Linked DNA regions of Styela clava. The protein of the gene in region 1 purifies or fractionates together with the protein of each later gene. This does not show direct contact. Links are inferred from orthologs where the notes say so. Each region holds a gene or a part of one and is shown in the gene's direction. Other genes may lie near its edges.

Region 1 (10,634 bases):
AACAGTAGCAGCACGTTTTGACTTGGCTATATATAATACCAAACATAGCGTATACTCTTCAATTTTATGAACAATGTGGACGAAACAAATTTAAAAAGAAATTGTATGTCAACTAAATTTGCTGAACAATTGATAAAATATATATTTTTCTCTTTGTCACACATTAATACTGTACGTCTATTAAACTTAGAATGAGTTGCAGAAGAAAAGTATAAAATACCAAAAAAACATTTTACGCCCTCTCGTGGATTCTTTTCAAAATTTCGAAAAATTATCGATTTTGGAAGGGCGATTTCTCGAAAACCGCCAATGAAGGCAGCACTACGACACATTCGGAGAAACGTAGATACCCTATATATTTGATTTCACTATAACAAAACAGTGGCAGCATGTTTTGACTTGGCTATATATAATACCAAAATAGCGTGTATTCTCAGTTTTATAAACAATGTCGACGTAACAAATTTAAGATGGATTTATATTTCAACTGAAGCTGCTGGAAAATTGATGAAATATATTTTTCTCTTTGTCACAAATGAATACTGTACGTTTATTAAACTAAGAATTAATTGGGAAAGTTTAAAATACGAAAAAAAAAAATATACGCTTTCTATAATGGGTTCTTTTCTGAATTCCGAAAAATAATCGTTTTTGAAAGGACGATTTCTCGAAAACCGCCAATAAAGGCAGCACTACGACACATTCGGAAAAAAGCAAATACCTTTTAGATTCGACTTCACTATACCATAACAGTAGCAGCACGTTTTGACTTGGCCATTTATAATACCAAACATAGCGTATATCTCAATAATTTGAATAGCGTAGATGTTCACATATTTTAAAAAGGTTTGGTATTTCAAATAAACTCACTTAATATCGTAATATTCCGTTTTCTTACTTTTTCAAACACCGATACTGTGTGTTAATTAAACTTGGAATAAGATGCAAATCGTATAAAACAATGAAAAATGTCTTACAACCTATATATAAAACGTGCTGCTACTGTTCTGACATAATGAAATCAAATCTATAAGGTATCTGCTTTTCTCCGAATGTGTCGTAGTGCTGCCTTTATTGGCGGTTTTTGAGAAATCGCCCTTCAAAAACGATTTTTTTTTGAAATTCCGAAAAAACTCCACAAGAGGGCGTAAAATCATTTTTTTGTTATTTTAGGATTTGCCACTTATTCCAAGTTTAATGAACGTACAGTTTTAATGTATGACCAAGAGAGAAAAGTATTTGATGAGTTATACAGTAAATTTAGTTGAAATACCAAATCGTTTTTAAATATGTTACATCTACATAGTTAGTTAAATTGAAAATTATATGCTATGTTTGGTTTCATATATGGCCAAGTTAAAACGTGCTGCTACTGTTCAGACATATTCATATCGAATCTATAGGGTATCTGCTTTTCTCCGAATGTGTCGTAGTGCTGCCTTTATTGGCGGTTTTTGAGAAATCGCGATTTCAAAAACATAATTTTTTGAAAATTTGAAAATAATCAACAAGAATGCGTAAAATGATTTTTTGTTATTTCATACTTTCCGCAACTCATTCCAGGTTTAATGGACCTACAGTATATATGTATGTCTAAGAGAAAAAGATGTTTTATAAATTATCTAGTAAATTTTGTTGAAAAACCAAACCATTTTTAAATATGTTACGTCTGCATTGTTTATAAAATTTTGAATACACGCTATGTTTGGTATTATATTTGGCCAATTCAAAACGTGCTGCTACTGTTTTGACATAATGAAATCAAATTTATAAGGTACCGTTTTTTCTCCGAATGTGTGCCTTTATTGGCGGTTTTTGAGAAATCGCTCTTTCAAAAACGATAATTTTGTGAAATTTGCTAAAGAATCCACATGAGGGCGTAAATTTTTTTTTGGTATTTTAGACTTTCTCCAACTTATTCTAAGTTTAATGAAGTGCATTATTGTTGTGTGACAAAGAGAAAAATATCTTCTTTGATGAACTATCCAGTAAATTTAGTTGAAATACAAAATCAGTTTTAAATTTGTTGTATATACATTGTGCATAAAATTGAAAATTATACGCTATGTTTAGTATTATATATGGCCAAGTCAAAACATGCTGAGACTGTTCTGACATAATGAAATCGAATCTTTGAGGTTTCTACTTTTTACCAATGGTGTTGCAATGCTGCCTTTATTGGAGGTTTTCATGAAACGACCGTCTTAAACGGCGAAAATTCAGTCATTTTTAAACAACTCTCAAAATAGTATAAAAAAATGTATGCACTGTAATAGTCGTTTTAGCTTGTTTACTATATATTAACAATACGAGTAGTGTAGTTAATGATTGTTTTGCTTTATTTGCTATTGTAAAACTAATCAAAATATACACTTTCTTTTAAAAATCATTGGGAACATTTAACTTTACGCGTGGGTATTTTCTGCGATTCTGTCAGTCACAATTTCGTGATTTGCTGCTAGCTTCACAGAGGTCCGCGGAAGTCATGATTAGAAATTTACATATTGGTCGTTGTCCCTGTGTGCCATTTCGTAGGTGAGTTCCGCATAGTACGGTGATATCAGAATATAGTAAAGGTGTACCGGTACGGTACTCTAACTTTCGATTAGAACTAGTTTCCTTTTCGTCAATAATTGTTTCTGTCTCACAATACATTACAAATTTTTCGTCTCTTGGTGCTATTCTGTATATTATGTGAAAATAGACGTAATAATCCTGTATCCTGTACAAATCGATGTAATACCGTAGCTTCAGTATTCTGGTATTACGTTAGATAACAAATTTCTGAATATATCTTATGCGTAATAATCTGTATCCTGTACAAATCGATGTAATACCGTAGCTTCAGTATTCTGGTATAAGATAACAAATTTCTGAATATATCTTATGCCTTATGCTTGAGTTTTTGTCACGGCTTTCTGTACCGGTATTTGTTACTGTATTTTGTATTTAATGCCAGAATGTAGGACTGAGCAGCAATACTGCAATAAGAGCACCTGAATAATGAACATAGTACGGTAGTCTAACAGAGATTTGTTGTCGTCAGTCTACATGCAGACATGCCAGCATGTAGGAAATGTACATCTCACATGACAGGAAAAGAAGTTTGGGACTGCAGTATTAGTATGCGGATACCGGTATCAGGATATGGTAGTTGGCCAAGACAATAAATACAGAAATATGAATAAACAAGATAGGTCCTTGTTTTCCCAAAGCTTTTTGAGAGTTTTGCAATATTTATTCTACTTGAACATAGTACAGTAGTATGCTACTTCCCATTTCTACTCTCTTTCTTTTCCACACATAAAAATAATTCTTGTTTTTTTCTTGTTAAAGTAAATTTATTCAACTAGTTTATTTGCATCATGGGGGACGACGGACACTCTCTCCATGCTTTGGAAAACATTATGACAGAATTTTTTCATACATCAACATCAAATCATAGAAAAAGAGAGATTGAAGAACAATTGGATCGATTCGGACAGCAGAAAGGATCGTGGAAACATTGCCTATATTTTTTTAATCGCACATCGAATGAATACGTCATGATGTATTGTTTGTCAGTTCTGGAAAATCTAACTAATAAAATGTGGATGGGTGTGGACGTTAATGAGAAAACCGAAATACGTGCCAGTTTGTATCGCATATTGATTGAAAAACATAAAACTGTTGCTTCATTTATCAAGAAGAAGCTTCTGAAAGTGATTGTTGATATTGGTCGACTTGATTGGCCAATGTTTTATCCAGATTTTTTCACTAATATAATATCACTAGCATGTCCACCAAATGATGAAGAGACCCGGACAATGGGTTTGAATGCTCTTCGTATAATCTCAGAAGAAATGGCATTACCTAGAGAAGATCTGCCACATCAGCGAAAGAAAGAACTCAGAAGATTTCTTCTTCAGCAAGCACCTGGAATTCTACATATTATTTCTGACACATTAGAAAAAGAATGGAAAAAACATTCCCGCGTTACAGATAATGATTCGAATATATTTATTTCTTCATCTCCACAGCAAGTGAATTCAACAGCATCTGATCTTATGGGATTGTTTGAAATGGGTGATTCTGACAGTCTTGGTTATTCATCTGAAACATTACCACCATTTTTGCCTGAGAAATCACACAAATTGGCTTTAGAAGCTTTGGAATGCCTGTGCCATTTATTCAGTTGGATACCTTTGTCATCCAACATTTCATCACGATTGTTAAATGTGTTATTTGCTTACACACGATTTGGTGTTCATTCATCTCTGATTACAAGCAAAAATTTTGGTCAGCATTCCAATATGCCAAATTTACCTCTTGGCACTCTAGCAATGACATGTATAAATGAACTTATGGCAAAAAATTGTATCCCTAACAATTTTGAAGACTATTTACTTAGGGTGTTCAAGTTTATTTTCCATTTTCTCAAACATGTGACCAAAAATGAGAATCCGAGAGCAGATTTGGAATTATTGGATGAGGATTATTTGGAGAAGTTTACAGAATTTTTGAGACTGTTCGTCAGTGTACATTTTATTCGAATTGAAAGTAACTCAAACTTTCCTTTATTGGAATTTTTGGAACTCTTGTTTAAATTCACTTTCAACCAACCAATGTTTGATGGTTACTACAATTGTTTGGATATCTGGGAACTATTCCTAGATTTCCTCAGTAATAAGTTAGAAGGAAAGGGGGAAGATGCTCGTATGATGGTTCTTGCCCCCTATAAAGAAGGTTTACATTTGCTTGTGAAATTAATTATGACTCAATTACAGTATCAGTTCAATCAGAACAGACTTGAAGAATTGGATAATGAAACACTTGATGATTCAGGCCACACAGAATGGCAACAATTTGTGATCGAAAACTTGGAAATTGTAGCCAAGATATGCAATTTTTTTCCATCTGATACATTATCATTATTATACCCAATATTAGAAGAGAATGCAGCCATTTACCTTGAGTTAGGTAGGCATGTTCTACCAGTTAATCAAAATTTATATGTTAAAACCAGCGATTTTATGAACAGTCCGGCTCACAATCCAAACCGCCAATTCAGTATTCCTGGCTCTAATGATTCGCTAAATCGTATTCATTGTGCATTGAAAGATCTTTCTACAGTTTTACAAGCATTGGGTCGCTTATCGGAATATTTCATTGGAGAACATTTTCCGCAAAGAACAGAAGCCATGTCACTTATTGATAAATTTTTGACTATTTCTGTTTTCGGGAGCAGAATAAAGTTGTATGAAATGCAAGCAAGAATACCAACTGTTTTGTACTCTGATGTTATAGAGGTGCATGTCCAATCTCTTGCAACCCTTCAACCTTTCACTCATTGGCTATTTCAGCTGTATACAGATTCTCAACAAGCTGGCCACTCTCAAGCTAAATTAGAAGATATCATGCAGGGATATTTAAATGCTCTTATTCCAATGCTCAGTCCGGAAGTCCCTGACAAGTTGGTACTTCCTGCTAGCCACACCTTGTTATCTGCCATAAACACCATTCGTGCAGCATTCCTCCTGAAGTCGCCCATCATTGACAAGTTATATAGTGACGTTGCTGGGGGTTCATGCGGTAAACTGTCAATAGAATCACAAAAATTGGTGTATCGGTCTCTATCTAATTTGCTTCTTCTACCCTGGCCAAATACACCAGATTTGGAGCAATGTTGGGATGCAAGACAGCAAAATCATTCTGCATTCATCAATGCTTTGCTAAAAGAATTTCTATCATTGAGTGATAGAATTCAGATGGTTATACAAAATAAAGTTGAAGCAAAGCAAATTATTATTAAATCACTCCATATTCTTGAAGATCTTGTGAATGCTGTGGGAGAAGAAATTGTCAAAACGAGACAGATATGCCATGTATCCCTGCAATCTTCTATAGAACTGTGTCTTGAGTTATTCCCTATTTATATTGATCACCCTGATGTTACAGAATGTCTAATGGGATTTTTTCTCGCTGCTTTTCGGGGACTTCGGTCCCAAATGGGTCATGAAAAAACTGTGCGAATGATACAAACTTTTATGAAGGTTTTTACACCAGATGTCCTGGAGAAAACAATTATGCATGAAAATTCTGCAGGAGTGAGAGCAGTCGAACATTTTATTAAAATTTTAGAGCTTGTTATTGATGAGTCGACAACAACATTTAAATCTCTGACCCAAAGCATCATAACTTTGGCAATTGATCAGATATACCCTGTGGTTGCACAACGTCCATCACCTGATGTGAAAGAAGCACTTTTCAGTCTACTATTTCACATTCTGTCACGCAAAAATCGACACTTTTTTCCAGCACCTGTGCTCGCTTCCTATCTTACAGGTGATAAGGTTGGTGTGCTTAATCATAAGAAAGACTTTCTTGCTATTATGCAAGCATTTGGACAGTCATTTCTGCAGCCTGATATCAGTATATTTCGTCACAATTTAAATGCCCTTGATAATCTGAATTTAAAACAAAAATTGTATGAAAAAATTTATAAACTTCTGGCAGATGAGAATATATTGTTCCAGTTTATCACTGTGTTAATTCAAGCATTGGTTCAAAAATCACACGATTTATTGAAGGAAGAAATTTATTCGACAACTTGGAATATGGCGGAGGTTGATTTCGACATTTTTTACAATAAATTTTTGCCCCAATTTTTAAGAAACTTGGATGGTATTACACCAGGACAAAAAGACACACTTTATAAAAGTTTCAATAAGGAATCTGATCAACCATCATTTGTGTTATGCTTACAAAATTTTGTCAATGATCTGAGATATTTCTATTTATGCAATGCTAGTTTGCCAGAAGGTACTGTTAATTTTAACTAATGGAGATTAGTTACGAACCAAGTCTTCCAAGATATAATATTTTTTAAACGTGCATAATATAATCAGGGAGGATGAATGATAAAATTGCTTTGTGTCAACAAAACATATTTAGTCCAATATTTTAATGAGTAACTTGTTATTGACTTGACCTTATCTCTAAGCTGTAATTGTTGACTACATGGGGACCTAGAACTATAGCGACATCTCAGACATATCGACCGATATTTTTCACATGATAAATGTTTTACCGTTTATCATCAATCCTCGTATGAAACTACAGATGAGTGTGGCGCTTTTGTCTCAAAGTTCATGTCAAACTTGAAACAATAAGTCTATGCAGATTGCGTAATTTTTTTTTTGAGGTTATGCCTGAGTTTCGAAGAAGAGTTGAATTTACATATTCTTAACCTGAGAAGTACAGTACTCAAATTGTGTATTTTGTGTGTTTTACTAAAATCACTACTTAAAGATGCTTAATTGTGTAATTGAGTAGGACTAAACTGAAATCTGTATTGATTCAATGTTAGCACCTTATTTTTCACTACTTTGAAGTAAAATATAAAGTACAAACAATTGATTTTTCTCAGTATATTAATTTATATCTCCCGTTCCATGTTTTTTATTTTCTTCGTATACGTTCCCTAGTCATTATATTTTTTTCTAATGTATTGAGCATTCATAGTATTTTCCAATTATTTTATCATAATTCAGGCATCACAACTCTGTTATAAATTTGAATAATTTGTTCATAAGTAGGTCATTTATTGCTTCATGTTATGACACGCGGCAGCCCTGTATACCTAGATGATTAAACCAATGTATTAGTCATCTTGAATGCATTAAAATTCTTCTTTTGGAATGCAATGTAATTTTTATTGCTCTAACGTCATCTATTTTGATTTGGCCACTATGATTCATCGGATAGAATTTAATTTGTGTGTGTGTGTGTAGTACAGGGTAACCAGTCAATTGGCACAGAGCGTAGATTGGCAAGCTTGTCATAAAATAATTTTTAATCTAATAAATAATATCACAAGACTTCTACTCTTTTATATATCTTATGTAATTAATTCCACATATTTCCTGAACTAGGAAGTTTGATGTTGATTCATTAAATTAAAAAATTTTTGGAGGAAAAATGAAGGTGATGATGCAAAATTTAACAAATCATTTCCCACTATTTGCTTATTGTTAAATATCTTGTGTAATCTAGCAATTGTCTACGGTTTGATCTAACAAAAGGATAGCATTAAATGAAAATTGACGATTCTAATTTGCTACCAGATCATCTGTATGCAGTTATTTCATGATTCATTCTACTTGAATAGCAAGTCCCGAACTTGGAAGTCAAATATATATGATTCCTAAGATTCAGATTTTTATATTACATTTACTATATACAGGTAATAACAGTTTTATTTCGACCATTATAACTAATTAATAACTAATCGTTTTTTCTTGTGCATGTGCCATTTGTAATTTTTTTATGTAATAATCCCATGTACATTTTTAATGTATATTATTTCACTATATCTGAACTATGATATATTTATCCGCATTCAATATCTCGCTTTCAAACGTTTTCGAGTTGTTCAATTTCGTATTTATTCCAAGGGTGGGAAAGCTAAGCAGCAAGAAAGCTTAATTCATGGAAATGCCACATCTGTAGCAAACTGATAGTCAAGATATGGATATGGTAAGAGTTTCCCAGCAGGAAGTAAAACAGGAATGGCGGCCGAATACTATGGCGAGCCCATCGTCCAGTCACTGGGTAATTTCGGGTATGGTTAGCCACTTCTTCCTTTGAGATGATGCATGAACTGTATGGTGGGGGGAATCGAACCGTGACCTGCCAAATGGGAACAGATACCGACAACGACGTTTCAGATTATTTGGCTCAATGTTGTGATTAACAATATGCATCTGCATGTTTTGGATATGTTCTTGTCCCGTGAAGCTATTTCTATGTAGAATAAGGTCTTAAAGTCGTTCAGTTGATTCATTTTTCTATGGTGTAAGTACAGCTGTTACTGTTGTTATTATGCCTAGGATGGCACATCAAGAACGGATGAGCGATTACAGTAGTTTCTGTGCCGGTGAATAAATTATCTAATTGGTCTCTCTCACGGGATGCGAAATCCGTGTTCGTCCTTGATAGATTTTCGGAATGCGATATAAATTCGAGATATCGGCTGGAACATTTTTAAATAAGCACAGTATAAGGAAAAGGGGATTCGATTTACATATTTATCTTGGAGGAGAGAAGAGTCGATAAGACGGATCAATCATGTGGCGAACCACGGCCACTCGGTTACCAGCTCTTGTCGGGTATGATGTTAGTAAGCCAGTTATTTGTTTCAGCTGCATGGACTCGATAGTGGAGCAAGCAGTTACCGACAAGTGATTACGTAAACTGCAGCGGCGAGAGGAGTTCAGCAATCCGTTGCCCATCGGATTCGAACCTGCGAACTCACGCAGGGTAAACAGAGGTGCGGTATGCGTCATAACGCCGGGCCCCGAATCGACTGAGACAAAACGAACTTTTATGAAATGAAGGGTCGAGCTGAACCTTTCAATTAAAATGTTCGAGTTTTCCGTACTTTGATAGATCGGTTGAATTTTCGCATCCACGTGTTCGTATCTATTTTCGGAATGAATAAATGAGGTCAAAGGACTATTTTGTGATAACAGTACATTGTTTCCAGGAATATATAGCGATGAAAGTAAACCAAGCACGATATATGAATAAATATCCTTCGGTCGTATACACGAAACGCCATCGCGGTAAGCTTGCAAACAACAAATATTTGAATATTGCACTTCGTGCAAAAATTAATGAAGTGGTCTAATTTGACTACTTGACTTTGAATATCACTCGTATCTGTAATTCATATGCAGCGTTTTTGCAGAAAAATAAGACTGAATTGAAACCTTCCTAAATTACACTCGTGGTATGCGGCACTCACTGCGATTTCAAACAATTGATATGTATATAGGAAAAATGCAGCTAACTTTACACATTTTTTGACAGCATAGTTCTAATACAAATAACCAACGGACAAAGAAGGGTCAGTCGCTCAGAAATGCCTTCCGCTGTTTCAGTATTACGAATTGTCGACCGCAGACGTGAAAATATTGTCTTGTTTCTGATACAACATAGTAGCTTTGTTCTGTGTCAAGAGATAGTTTTTGCTTCACTACCTCGATTTCTCGAAGACAAAGCGTAAGATAAACTATATATAGGCTATATGAGAAAAAGTACGCGACGGGAATGTCTTCAAGAGTTAAATTTTCACCTATCACGTAAAGTATTCTTCGAAATTCTCTGAGCTTGACCGCGTGCAATGAAATCTCTTCTTGTTGGACCCGATCAGTCACAAATTGTGCGACTGATCTTATTATATGACAAAATGTTTTATTAAAACTTTATTCAGTTAACTTATTATGCAATACTCTCATAATGATTTCTTGAAAAATATCAGTAGATGAAATAAAACATGTGGAGATTTTACCTTGTAGACCTGATATTGTTTCTTGCTGCAGCTTCTGCTTTCCTGTTAATGCCATTAAGAAATGAATTTATATACAAGGTGAGCATTTGATGAACTATGAGAATATTACGATCATTGCTTTACAGGCAATTGGTGAAGAGATATTTAAAATAATAGTCACACATTGCTGTTTCATCTCATGGTAATTAGTTTAAAACTATGTGAGAGAAATTGAGCATTACATCAACAAAACTGATCGCAAAGTTAATTGATCCCATAGGTGTAAATGTTTGCCATATATATATATATATATAATAAATTT
Region 2 (10,634 bases), on another chromosome or scaffold:
TGATACAGTTTCTGTATATGCATGGTTTAATGTTGATTTTTTGTCTGCGGTAATAAAGACGGTAAATATTTTTAGCTTGATTTCTAGTTGATAACTTTTGATATAGAACAGTTCTTAGTAATAATAAATTTGTTTATAAATTTTCATGTTTGCGGAATATCTGATATCACAACAGGTCGAGTACTACTGATAGTGTATAGCCAGTTTCTAAATGAGTAGGCTACAGTTTCTGTATGCACGGTTTAATGTTGATTTTTCGTAAAACTTGCATAGTTTTTGCAATACAAATTTAATATGTGTCTGTTCAAGGAACAGTATACCAAATTTGAAAAAATAAAAGAAAAAATTCATATTGTATAAAAAAAAAAATATATATATATATATACATTGAACAAACATGGCAGGTACTGATGAAATTGACACCGAATCTGTTTAATTATTTTATTACTTATGAAATTGTATTGGTGCCTCTGATGACACCCCAAAGGTTTATCATGGCATCCCAGCCATACACAGAAAGCCTCTTTTATTTATAAATCTATGCATATTTTGTGCCTTGCTCTCTTTTATCTAACGCGCGTTAATATTCAAAACAAAAAACCTTTACTGTTCGTCACGAGTAATCTACCAGTTGTTGGGAACTTATTTGCTTGTTGCAGGTAAAAAACGGCGGGAAGTCAGTTGGTGAATGGGGTGAATTCCATGTTAATAAGTACAGTCGGATTTCATGCGGAGGAGTAAAGAACACTGCTGTCGTGGAAGCAAATGACTGGGAAAAGAGAGTCGAAGATGATGTTTTTGTGTGGACTGCACCCAGTCAATGTGATTTTTCTGCACAGTTTTATATACCTACGTAAGGAATATTTCATAGTCTTTGTTTTTACATACTGCAATTGAACACATATACGGTAATAATTTAAGATACCATAACCGTATTTTAATAATACATCTCATGAATAGTTGGGTCTCCAGCCAAAAGCAATTTTTATATGATGATCGTTTTATTAACTTTTACCATAGTTATCGGTAGATGCTATGTGATCTTGTAAAAAACGAACGTATTTTTTAATATCATTACTCTATATTCTAAGCAAACGTGCTGTTGATATATTTTATGTTTTTAATGCTTCTGCAGGGTTCGAGTGATTAAAAACGACAACGAATACTCGCCTAAAATGGTAACGCGTCTGGAATGTATTCAAGACACAAACGACCCACATGCGATGCCGGAAATGTATTCAGGAGATGCATGCACCAACAATCACACTAAGATTCCTACAAGCAGTAGGAATTATTTTCATATAAAGAATATTTTGATATATATAGAATTATTTGATTGTTCGTGTCATAAGAGACCACTGCGACTTTAGAAAAGAGCGAAAGACTATGTCGTGACAGTGAGATAAATTGGGAGATATCTAAATATTAAGCAGAATTAAAGACCTAATACACCGGTAAATAAACTATACCTGGACTGTGCAGACCAGTTCCGTATTATCGGATTTTCTCTCCCTAGCTTTAATACGAGTAAAAGCCTATTCAATCACAAACATTTTATTGATCATGCAATATTAATAAAAAAAATTATATTTAGGAACAAAATTTGTTTCCGAGAAAAAATATTCATATTTTTAATTTATTTTTAAATTAACAGATACTGGGTTTGAAACAGATTTTGGGGGATGGTGGAATGAACCAACAGCGGCATTGAGATGGACAAGACAATCGGGACCAAGCCCGTCCCCTCAAACTGGTCCAATGCAGGCTATTGAAGGAAGTGAGTGTTTACGACCATCTTCACGATTTTATAAAACGAATTGAGTCATTTGTGAGAAAACCTACATTTATATCGATCGCACAGGTGTACATTTTCACATGGACCTAGATTGACACTTTCTACAGTAAAAGCCTAACCAAATCATCGTTTCTTTATATAGAACCAGAATAAATGCCTAATCTTATACGGCTACCGGGTGCGAAGTAGATATAAATCGAGATTATAATTTTTATCCCGGTAGGCCGATTCGATAACATTACGCTGTTGTAATCATAATATAGGGATCATCACATAGGGATATTTCAAAGCATCAACGACGAATTATATTTCTTCAGAATGGTACATTCATGCTGAAGGAAGCTATCCAGCTAGACCAGGAGAGCAAGCAATATTAAACAATCCACCTGGACTAGAAGGTTGTGCTTGCGTCAGAATAGAATGCCATATGTTCGGTGGACCAGGATTAAGATTCGACTTCAAAATCAACGGTGATATTTCCTTCAGTCATGTCGTGTCTCTGGATGAGTGGATCCGTGCTTATTCGACTGTAAATGTTCCTGGTGGTGCCTTGGTGAGCGTTTTGTGTTCATTTTATGTTTGCTATCACAAAAAAGACCTGGACAAACGAATTGATTGCAATAAAAATCTGTTCCATGGAAAAATCGCTTCCGCCTGGTTGTTCGGCATCAGCAGTCCCATGTCGTCAATTTGGTACAACCCGAGTTATTTACTACTGAATCAGTCAAATTTTGAACAAGTTCAATTCATCTGAAGTTATCGATATAGGCTCAAAATCTACACAATAAAAATTGATTTTGTGAATCAGTTGGAAATCCACATTATTTAATATTCTGATCCCAAAGTTATATTATAAATACCAAACAACAAAATAGCATTCTCTATATCGGTAATGTGTGTGATCTGTTAATGAGTAGAAAGCATCTTTTGATGTTTCTTCGTCAATTTCAAACTCAAACCTCAAATAACAATTTTTTTTTTAACTGTGATCCAACTCGTTATTTGTGAGCTAATATCTTATAAACACGTACAGATCAGGTTGTTAACATTCAACTTTTCATAGGTCCAACTTGTCATGACAAGAGGAGATGATTTTCGAGGTGATCTCGCAATTGATGACATCACAATAGAGCCTGGAATGTGTGCCGAGGACGTTCGTCTCAATAAAGTGCTTTGAATCATTTGAATGCATCACGTGAATTTGCGATGGAAAAATGTATTAAATTTAAGCACAAGAACATTTTGTTGTATTAGTAGTATTTATTGTTGTTGAACAGACACAGCAAACTTTTCCATAATTTGTAAGCAAGTCAAACCTAAATGTAGTTGCTAATGTGATATAGTCAGTATTTCCATGAGAGTAATATTACAAATATTTACTACCCTCTGGTTTCAGTGCGTAGTCCTCGCAATGCCATTCGTAGGATAGAGATAAACGCTGTGAGTAACTAGTATAAATCTTAATAAATTTAGGCAATATAATGTATGGACGCTCATTGTACACAAAACTTCCCTTGTTGTGAAATGAGGATCCAATACGACAGTGTTCATAATTTTCAGATTGCCATTATATCTTCAGTATTTTATCTTGTTATTTATGAGTGGCCTACACTACCTCTGTTGGACCGAATTAAATATTTTCTATAATCTATAGCAAGCTTTGGGGAAAAGCACGTCGGAAAGTCCGATCAATATTATATGGCGATTTGCGGGCACGCCATAACGAAGAACGCAGCGCTCTCATAGCGCAAAATTACCAACAATCTTCGCCGAGTTACTGTCAGAGAAGGCCGCCGCCAAAGCAGGGTTGCCAGATCCCAGTGATGAAAAAAAGCCAAATTAAGACGAAAAAGGCCAACAATTTTACTAAGTAGGCTACAAAAGCCCCATGATTTGATGCTACCATGGCGATTTCCACTTCAGCGAGATGACGGGTTTAAAAGTAAAAATGATGAATTGAATGACAGCACCAGAATGTACATTCGACATAATACAGTTAAGCTGACATCCATATGTAAAAGTTAATAAAAAATCAAAAAAAAAATAAATATTAATCGGACAGCATTATTCAACAATTCAATATATACACAGAGTGCCGATTCAGTATGTGATATACCTTAAAACATTCTCCCTAAACATTTTGAAACCATCAGTTTTATTAAAAAAAATTATCGAACCACGTGCCGCTTACAGGTGTACTGATAGCTTATTTTAGCCAAAGTGACTATGTCACTTTGTACCTAACCATTGCAAAATTGTCGGTGCTCATTTTAACAGTGGTTTCGCGATTTGGCGCCTGTAAAGTGGGAACAATATGTTCTTTGAAAGTGCTAGTAAAGAATTTTAGCCTAGTCTATCACAGCTATTTCTACACTAATTTTTGATTACTGCAACTAAACTGAAACTCCTAAGAAGACAACGTGATCCTTGAATTATTTAATATATATTTAAATATCCGAAACACAACTGGAAACTAACAAATAGATTTCAAAAAACGCGAAAACGAGGTAATGTTCACCACGCCTGAAAATCTATCTGAAAGACAAAGTGTCTGAGCTGATGCGAAAATGGGCATTGTTACGTCCCTTTTTGCATCTTGCTGATTGGCTTATGTCACGAAGTAAACAAATAAGTCGATGCTCGGGAAAACACCTGCTGAGTCTTCTGTGGGCCAGAACTGCGAAATTGCTCTGAAACCATTGTAAAGTAAGGGATCCTAAATTTACCTTATTACGTCAAACGTCACTCTGAGGTTAACCGGTTACGGTATGTTAGTCGTTGCCGGTTACTGGTGTGTTTCACTGAAATTCTACTGTCTATATATTTGCCCATATGCTGGTACCGTATAATGTTAGGTTTCCTTCATGCACGACGTGAATAAAATATCTGAATCCTAGGAGATCCTCCGCTCTGTAGGATTAGTTTTTTTTTTAGTACAAAAACGTCATAAAAAATCATGTCGGGTATCTGATTACTGGAGTACCGTATGGGGTTAGTTAGCCATTCTGTGCCGTCAGACCGTACCGGTACGGTCAGACGTAAATGTCGAAATGGCAGGTAAAAAGTCTGCATTTAAAAAGTAAACATACATTTCTGTACTGCAGTGACTACAAACATCAGTAGTTCAGTGAACGTTCAGTAGTTTATAGTAGTAGACTACCATATGTATTTTAATATAGTCTAACTGAATCTGTGAGTGGTTCACAGAAACAGAGTTACCTTCTAAATTATACTGTTATGGTATCTATAGTTATAGGAAATATTATAGATGGAGGCTACATCATCTGATTATGAAGACCACAGGAAGAAATGGGACAGAGATGAATATGAAAAACTTGCACTGGAACGACTGAATGAAGAGAATGAAAAGTCTGAGGAATTTAAAGATAAACCTGTGAAAAGAGATTTGTTAAAAGCAAGAGATTATAAAGTTGATTTAGATTCCAAGTAAGGCTTTTAAAAATCCAGATTTCTTGTTATTCGATATGTACAACTCTCAGTTCCAATGCGAACATTTATATGATTTTTGTGCTTTTTGTTTTTTATGCTGAAGACTTCTGTAATGACTCAATTTTATAATTAATGGCATAAATATAAATAGAGCATATCAACATATATGTTAATAGGGATATCGTACCAGTTTCAGACTCAATTGCTCACATTTTACTGCAACTCAAAATGAAATCATTACTTTTGTCACTTGTTAGTGGTTACAATGCTGCAATGTATCGGTACTATCTTGCATATGATTGAGTGACTCTTAATTCTTTGATAATTTTGTCTATAACTGCGTTTGAAAAGTAAAGAACTCATTGGTATTCATTTTTGTAATTCTAATGCAGACTCAACAAATCTGTCGTAATCAGTAAAACAACAGCAGCTGCAGATTGCGGAGGATATTATTGCAATGTATGTGATTGTGTTGTTAAGGACTCAATAAACTTTCTGGATCATATTAATGGTAAAAAACATCAACGAAATATGGGAATGTCAATGAAAGTTGAACGTTCCACGTTATCCCAAGTGCAAAAAAGATTTGAAATGAACAAGAAAAAAATGGAAGAAAAGAAGAAGCAATATGATTTTGATCAAAGAATGAAGGAACTAAAGGAAGAAGAGGAAAAAATGAAAGCTTATAAGAAAGAAAAGAAAAAGAGAAAACGAAAAGCACAGGAAGAATTGGAAGTGTCGAATGATGACTCTGACATTGCTGCCATGATGGGTTTTGGAGGATTTGGTGGTGGCAAGAAACGATGACAGCTGGCTTGCACAGTATTTTGTGGTATTTTCAAGTACACAATTCCAGATATTGTGGTATAAAATTTTACAGATTACTTTTTTATTCTCAAATATTCCTTTGATCAGAAGTGCTGGCATTTTTAGGTATTGTTTTTTTTTTCGAAAGCATTGTACAAGCATCACAAATTTTCAGTTTCAACATTTCCTTTCCAGTTTATTATACTATACACTGGGTCAGAAGTCATATGGAGGTATAGTATTTTTTAATTCGTATGACCTATAACATTTTTATCCTAATGGAAAGGAAATGTTTCAAATTTGTGTGTTAGTTCGATTTGACAAAGCCCCAAGTAGAACGCTTCAGTGGCTCATGATAGATAAATATGGAATAATTTAAGTTTATGAATATTCAAACTATTGTATCACTGTTGTGGATGTAAATAATCTTAGCTCTTTTTTTTGGAATTGACAATGGAAATATACCCGAGTATTCTGATGAAACAGTCTTTACCAAGTAACACTTTTTTACAAATTCTGATGTTTTTAATTTATTGTCAGTGGGTTAAATATGTATTCTATTATGTTTTTCAATATTTGGTTGAGAACAATCTGTTCAAAAACTGTGATTGAATATTTTGGTGTTGTATCTAATATCTACATGATATTGCTGATATAGGATCATTTTGCACATACTGATAGTTGAAATTTACCATATTTTTATTGAATATCCTGAATGTAGATATAAATGCATCAAGATTATATCTTGTGAAACTTGATTTCAGTGTGCAACAAAAGCTTGATTCATGTCAGTCAAATTTATTATGTTACAGTATGTTTGATATCAGAAATGATAAGAATGTGTAAAATTTGCCATTTAATTTACTGATAGGATTATAAAATATCATACTGTCTGTCACAAACATCCATTTCCCAATCAGTGAAACTCATCCTTCAGTAATTGTTTTTAAATCTTATCATATTAGGTTATTATAATATTCATCTAAATATGGAAACCGTTTCTTTAAACCCAATATGCTGTATGAGAACCTGTTTTAAAACTAAAAATGGTACACCAAGACAGCCTTCTATATCTTCTAGCACGAGGGGCCAGCTTACAATCGATAAATCTATTTTTACTAATCCTGAACATAGTCTTGACGGATTAGAGGAATTTGCCTATGTATGGGTGCTTTTTTCTTTTCATTTGAATCAAAACAAGGGCGTTAAAGCGAAAGTGAGACCGCCAAGACTTGATGGTGCCAAACGTGGTGTGTTTGCTACAAGAAGTCCACACAGGCCAAACCCAATAGGGTTGACACTAGCAAAGCTTGAAAAGGTAAATGGTTCTACATTGACTTTATCAGGGTTGGACATTGTAGATGGAACACCAATATTGGACATTAAGCCTTACATAAAACAATACGACTTTCCATCTGAAACTGACAGTGAAACTGAGTCTGATAATAGTAATGTTGAAACTTGTGTGAAGTCTGACCAAGCAACAAGAAAGCGGGATAACACTGAAAAAGTGGAGAGCTCCGAATCCAATGAACCAAGTTCGATGAAAAGTACACTACCTGATCTTATCGTTGTATTCACATGCAGAGCAGAGGCTGACCTTTCGATATATAGCAAAGGAAATAAACTTGATGTAACTTCTGAATATAGGTTGGAGCATATTAGCAATGCAGAAGATCTGAGATCGTCAATAGAGGATATTTTGAAAGCAGATCCCAGATCAACCTATCGCAGAAATAAGTGCTGTGATAGGTGAGATGATTGCTATTCTAAATAAAATTTCCTAATCAATCGAACCTTTGGGTTGATAGGTCTTTTTATGTGCTGAATTTGAGCACAAATTATATCATTCAACCAATTCCAGCAATTCGATTTACATTGATATGTTGCCACACTCAACCTATCATCTGTGTGGTGTCACATTTACCTTAAAATAGACATTCTGCTGTGAAAAATCATAAATGAATGGCGGTTTGAATGCATGCCCACTACATTTTTTTATTTGATGTACAATGATTTTAGCTTCTTGCAAATCAAATTATATTTTTGTTATTCAATATCATGTTACAAACTTAGTTCCAATCAGATGGTTTTTATTACAAGTTTAAAAACAATATCCTTACCCAAACTTTGCAACATATATTTTTTATTGATCTAGAGTTACAATGTATTGAAAATCATGTGAAATATGTTTTATTTTCCAGATTATATTATTTTCTGATTGATAACTGTCATGTGACTGCTTGGTTCGACTACTCTACATTTCCAAACACTGCTGAAGTATTGCGGGTGAAACCAGAGAGTAAGATCGTGTCAAGTTCATAGAACAACATTGTTACAAAAAATATACAACAGAAAACTATTCATGTATGAAGTACATTTCGATGTCGATCTGTACAATGTAAGATCTTCCACCCTACTGTGTATGTAATTCAAGAGTCCAACTATCACAAATGCATTTCTGTGGAGCTTCCGTCTGGCCAAAGTCAGGCCTCCTCTCCATTGTCATGCAAAATATATCAAATATGTTTTAAATCGGGGCTTGTCAAACTGGAGCTCCCGAGCCCTCTGTGTGGGTCGCGAGAACGCGCAACGGGGTTAGCGGTAAAATCTTCTTCGACACTGACTTGGAAGAATTGGAACCAGTACTGAGACTCGCCATTACTGAAATAGAGCCGATATGCGCTCTTTTGTGCGAGAATATGCAAGCTCATTGGGATTGTGGCTTTTGTTATTTTCTGTATTAACAGATTTTAAATACTCAAGGCCGCGAAAAAATTCGAGTGCGTTTCGATGATAGAAGTTTTAATAACACTGTTCTGAATAATCAATCAAAATTAGTGTATAACAATCTGTTGATTACATAAAAGCCACCTCATGGTGCTAGACAAAAGCCCAATCAGATCACTGTCAAGCGGAGAGGAAAAGAATCGCATTATATATAGAAAAATAAATTGCATTTCAGTTATGGAATTAGGCCTGCGGTGGGTTTCATAAGTGTTATCCTGATCGGGATTGCGTTCAATTATTAAAACTGTGCTCTTATCGCTTCACTCAGTGAGTGATAGTTAAATAAGTCTGTGTTTAGTGACCATTCGTTAGCGAGTGAGAGAGAGATTTTATTTTTTTTGTCAACCAAAATAAAATAACAGTCACCGCAATAATGACGACCTGGTGCAGTGCAACGATACGTCGTGCAAAAGCGGCTATCCAGACGCATTTCTCACAATTTCTTCGGCCTGAAAAAAACTAAGTTAAGTTTCTCTTCTAACTTCCTATTATTCCATGTTCTCAAGTCCTTGAATACCTATATGAATAATATGCGGATACTTTTGTTGTTTCAGTAAAATTTTATTGTTGGTTTTCAAACACATCAATTTAGACTTTCTTAGAATTATCAACCGTCATAACTTTTTTTCACGGGATATAATTGGGTTGGGCTAAATAGCCCCAAGCCATTTCCTAAAGACTAAGGTTTCACATTTGATTGGGACATTTTCATGCATTGGTAATTAGTATAAAAGCTATCCTATATTCACTGAGTAATACCCCTAATTCACCTCCTCACTCAAAACCTAGGCGCGCAGCCAGGATTTTTAAAAGGGGAGAGGGTTTAAAACCGGAAATTCCCATTCCCTTATGAAACAGTCGCCGCGATTACGCGCTCGTTAAAATAGACCTCTTTTTTTTACCGATTTTTCTGTCACGTAAAATATTCAATTCATCACAGCTACGATAATCTAAAATTTCCTTCTATATTAATTAAATTGTGTACAACGTAACTCGTGGTTTCGTCTTCTTTTGTCAAAATAAAAACATTACAACTCTGAAATACCACGTCAATCTGTTGCCATAGAAATATGAGATGAACTGCCTTAGTGTATTTAGTTTTGATACTTATTTTTGCGATCTTGCGAATTCGTTATCGCCGTTAGAAAAGATCTGATATAAAATCACGTAGAGTACAATTTAATTTAGTACACAGAAAGAGCGAGAGTTAATTCCATCTTGTCAAACCAAGAAAACAATAAATGCATACATATATATATAAATATCAAATAAAAAGATGTTTTCGGTACATGACTGGGAGGCAACGATACGACCTTTGAAAGTCTTCAGGGTCAGTTGTCATTCAATTAAATGAGCATAAAAATAACAGGTTCGGTGTCTATATATCAATACCTCTCATGTTTGTTTACAATATTTACATGTTTATTTTATTTTCGAAGCGAAAGTATGGTATACGCTCTTTCAACTAACCGAATTTGACACATATTATATTGAATTTCGAAAATATAAAAATACAATTAAATACATATTAAGTATATTAGTGAAATCCCCGTGGAACGACTTTTTCTACGAATAATGATGATTTTTGAATATTCAAAAATATTTGCTTTATTGATTTAATTGTTTGCAATTTGACCTGTGGTTGCGTACTTGCGTTGGCAAAATAAAAGCACTACTACCCTAAAATACCGCGGCAATACACGGACATAAAAATGTGTGGTAAATTACCCCATTATATCTTCCTTTGATAGATATTTTTGCAATCTGGACAAATCTGAGCTGTATACTTACA

Evidence for each region.
Region 2: the proteins of exportin-6-like (region 1) and zinc finger matrin-type protein 2-like purify together in Homo sapiens (co-immunoprecipitation; 3 studies listed by BioGRID and IntAct, with this or other methods). This does not show direct contact. The link is inferred for Styela clava from reciprocal best matches to the Homo sapiens genes XPO6 and ZMAT2.

What each region holds. Positions count from the first base shown.
Region 1 is NC_135256.1:14,542,501-14,553,134, forward strand, and holds exportin-6-like, read left to right. Parts: upstream 1-3,317; 5' UTR 3,318-3,365; coding exon 3,366-6,821; 3' UTR 6,822-7,532; intron 7,533-7,574; 3' UTR 7,575-8,403; downstream 8,404-10,634. Other genes in the region: proton-coupled folate transporter-like, read left to right, coding at 10,319-10,411. UniProt on the Homo sapiens protein: Mediates the nuclear export of actin and profilin-actin complexes in somatic cells.
Region 2 is NC_135251.1:24,957,435-24,968,068, reverse strand, and holds zinc finger matrin-type protein 2-like, read left to right. Parts: upstream 1-4,376; 5' UTR 4,377-4,501; intron 4,502-5,063; coding exon 5,064-5,242; intron 5,243-5,637; coding exon 5,638-6,052; 3' UTR 6,053-7,017; downstream 7,018-10,634. Other genes in the region: uncharacterized protein LOC144419940, read left to right, coding at 660-853, 1,136-1,284, 1,655-1,777, 2,113-2,348, 2,859-2,972; tRNA (adenine(37)-N6)-methyltransferase-like, read left to right, coding at 7,041-7,804, 8,257-8,377. UniProt on the Homo sapiens protein: Involved in pre-mRNA splicing as a component of the spliceosome.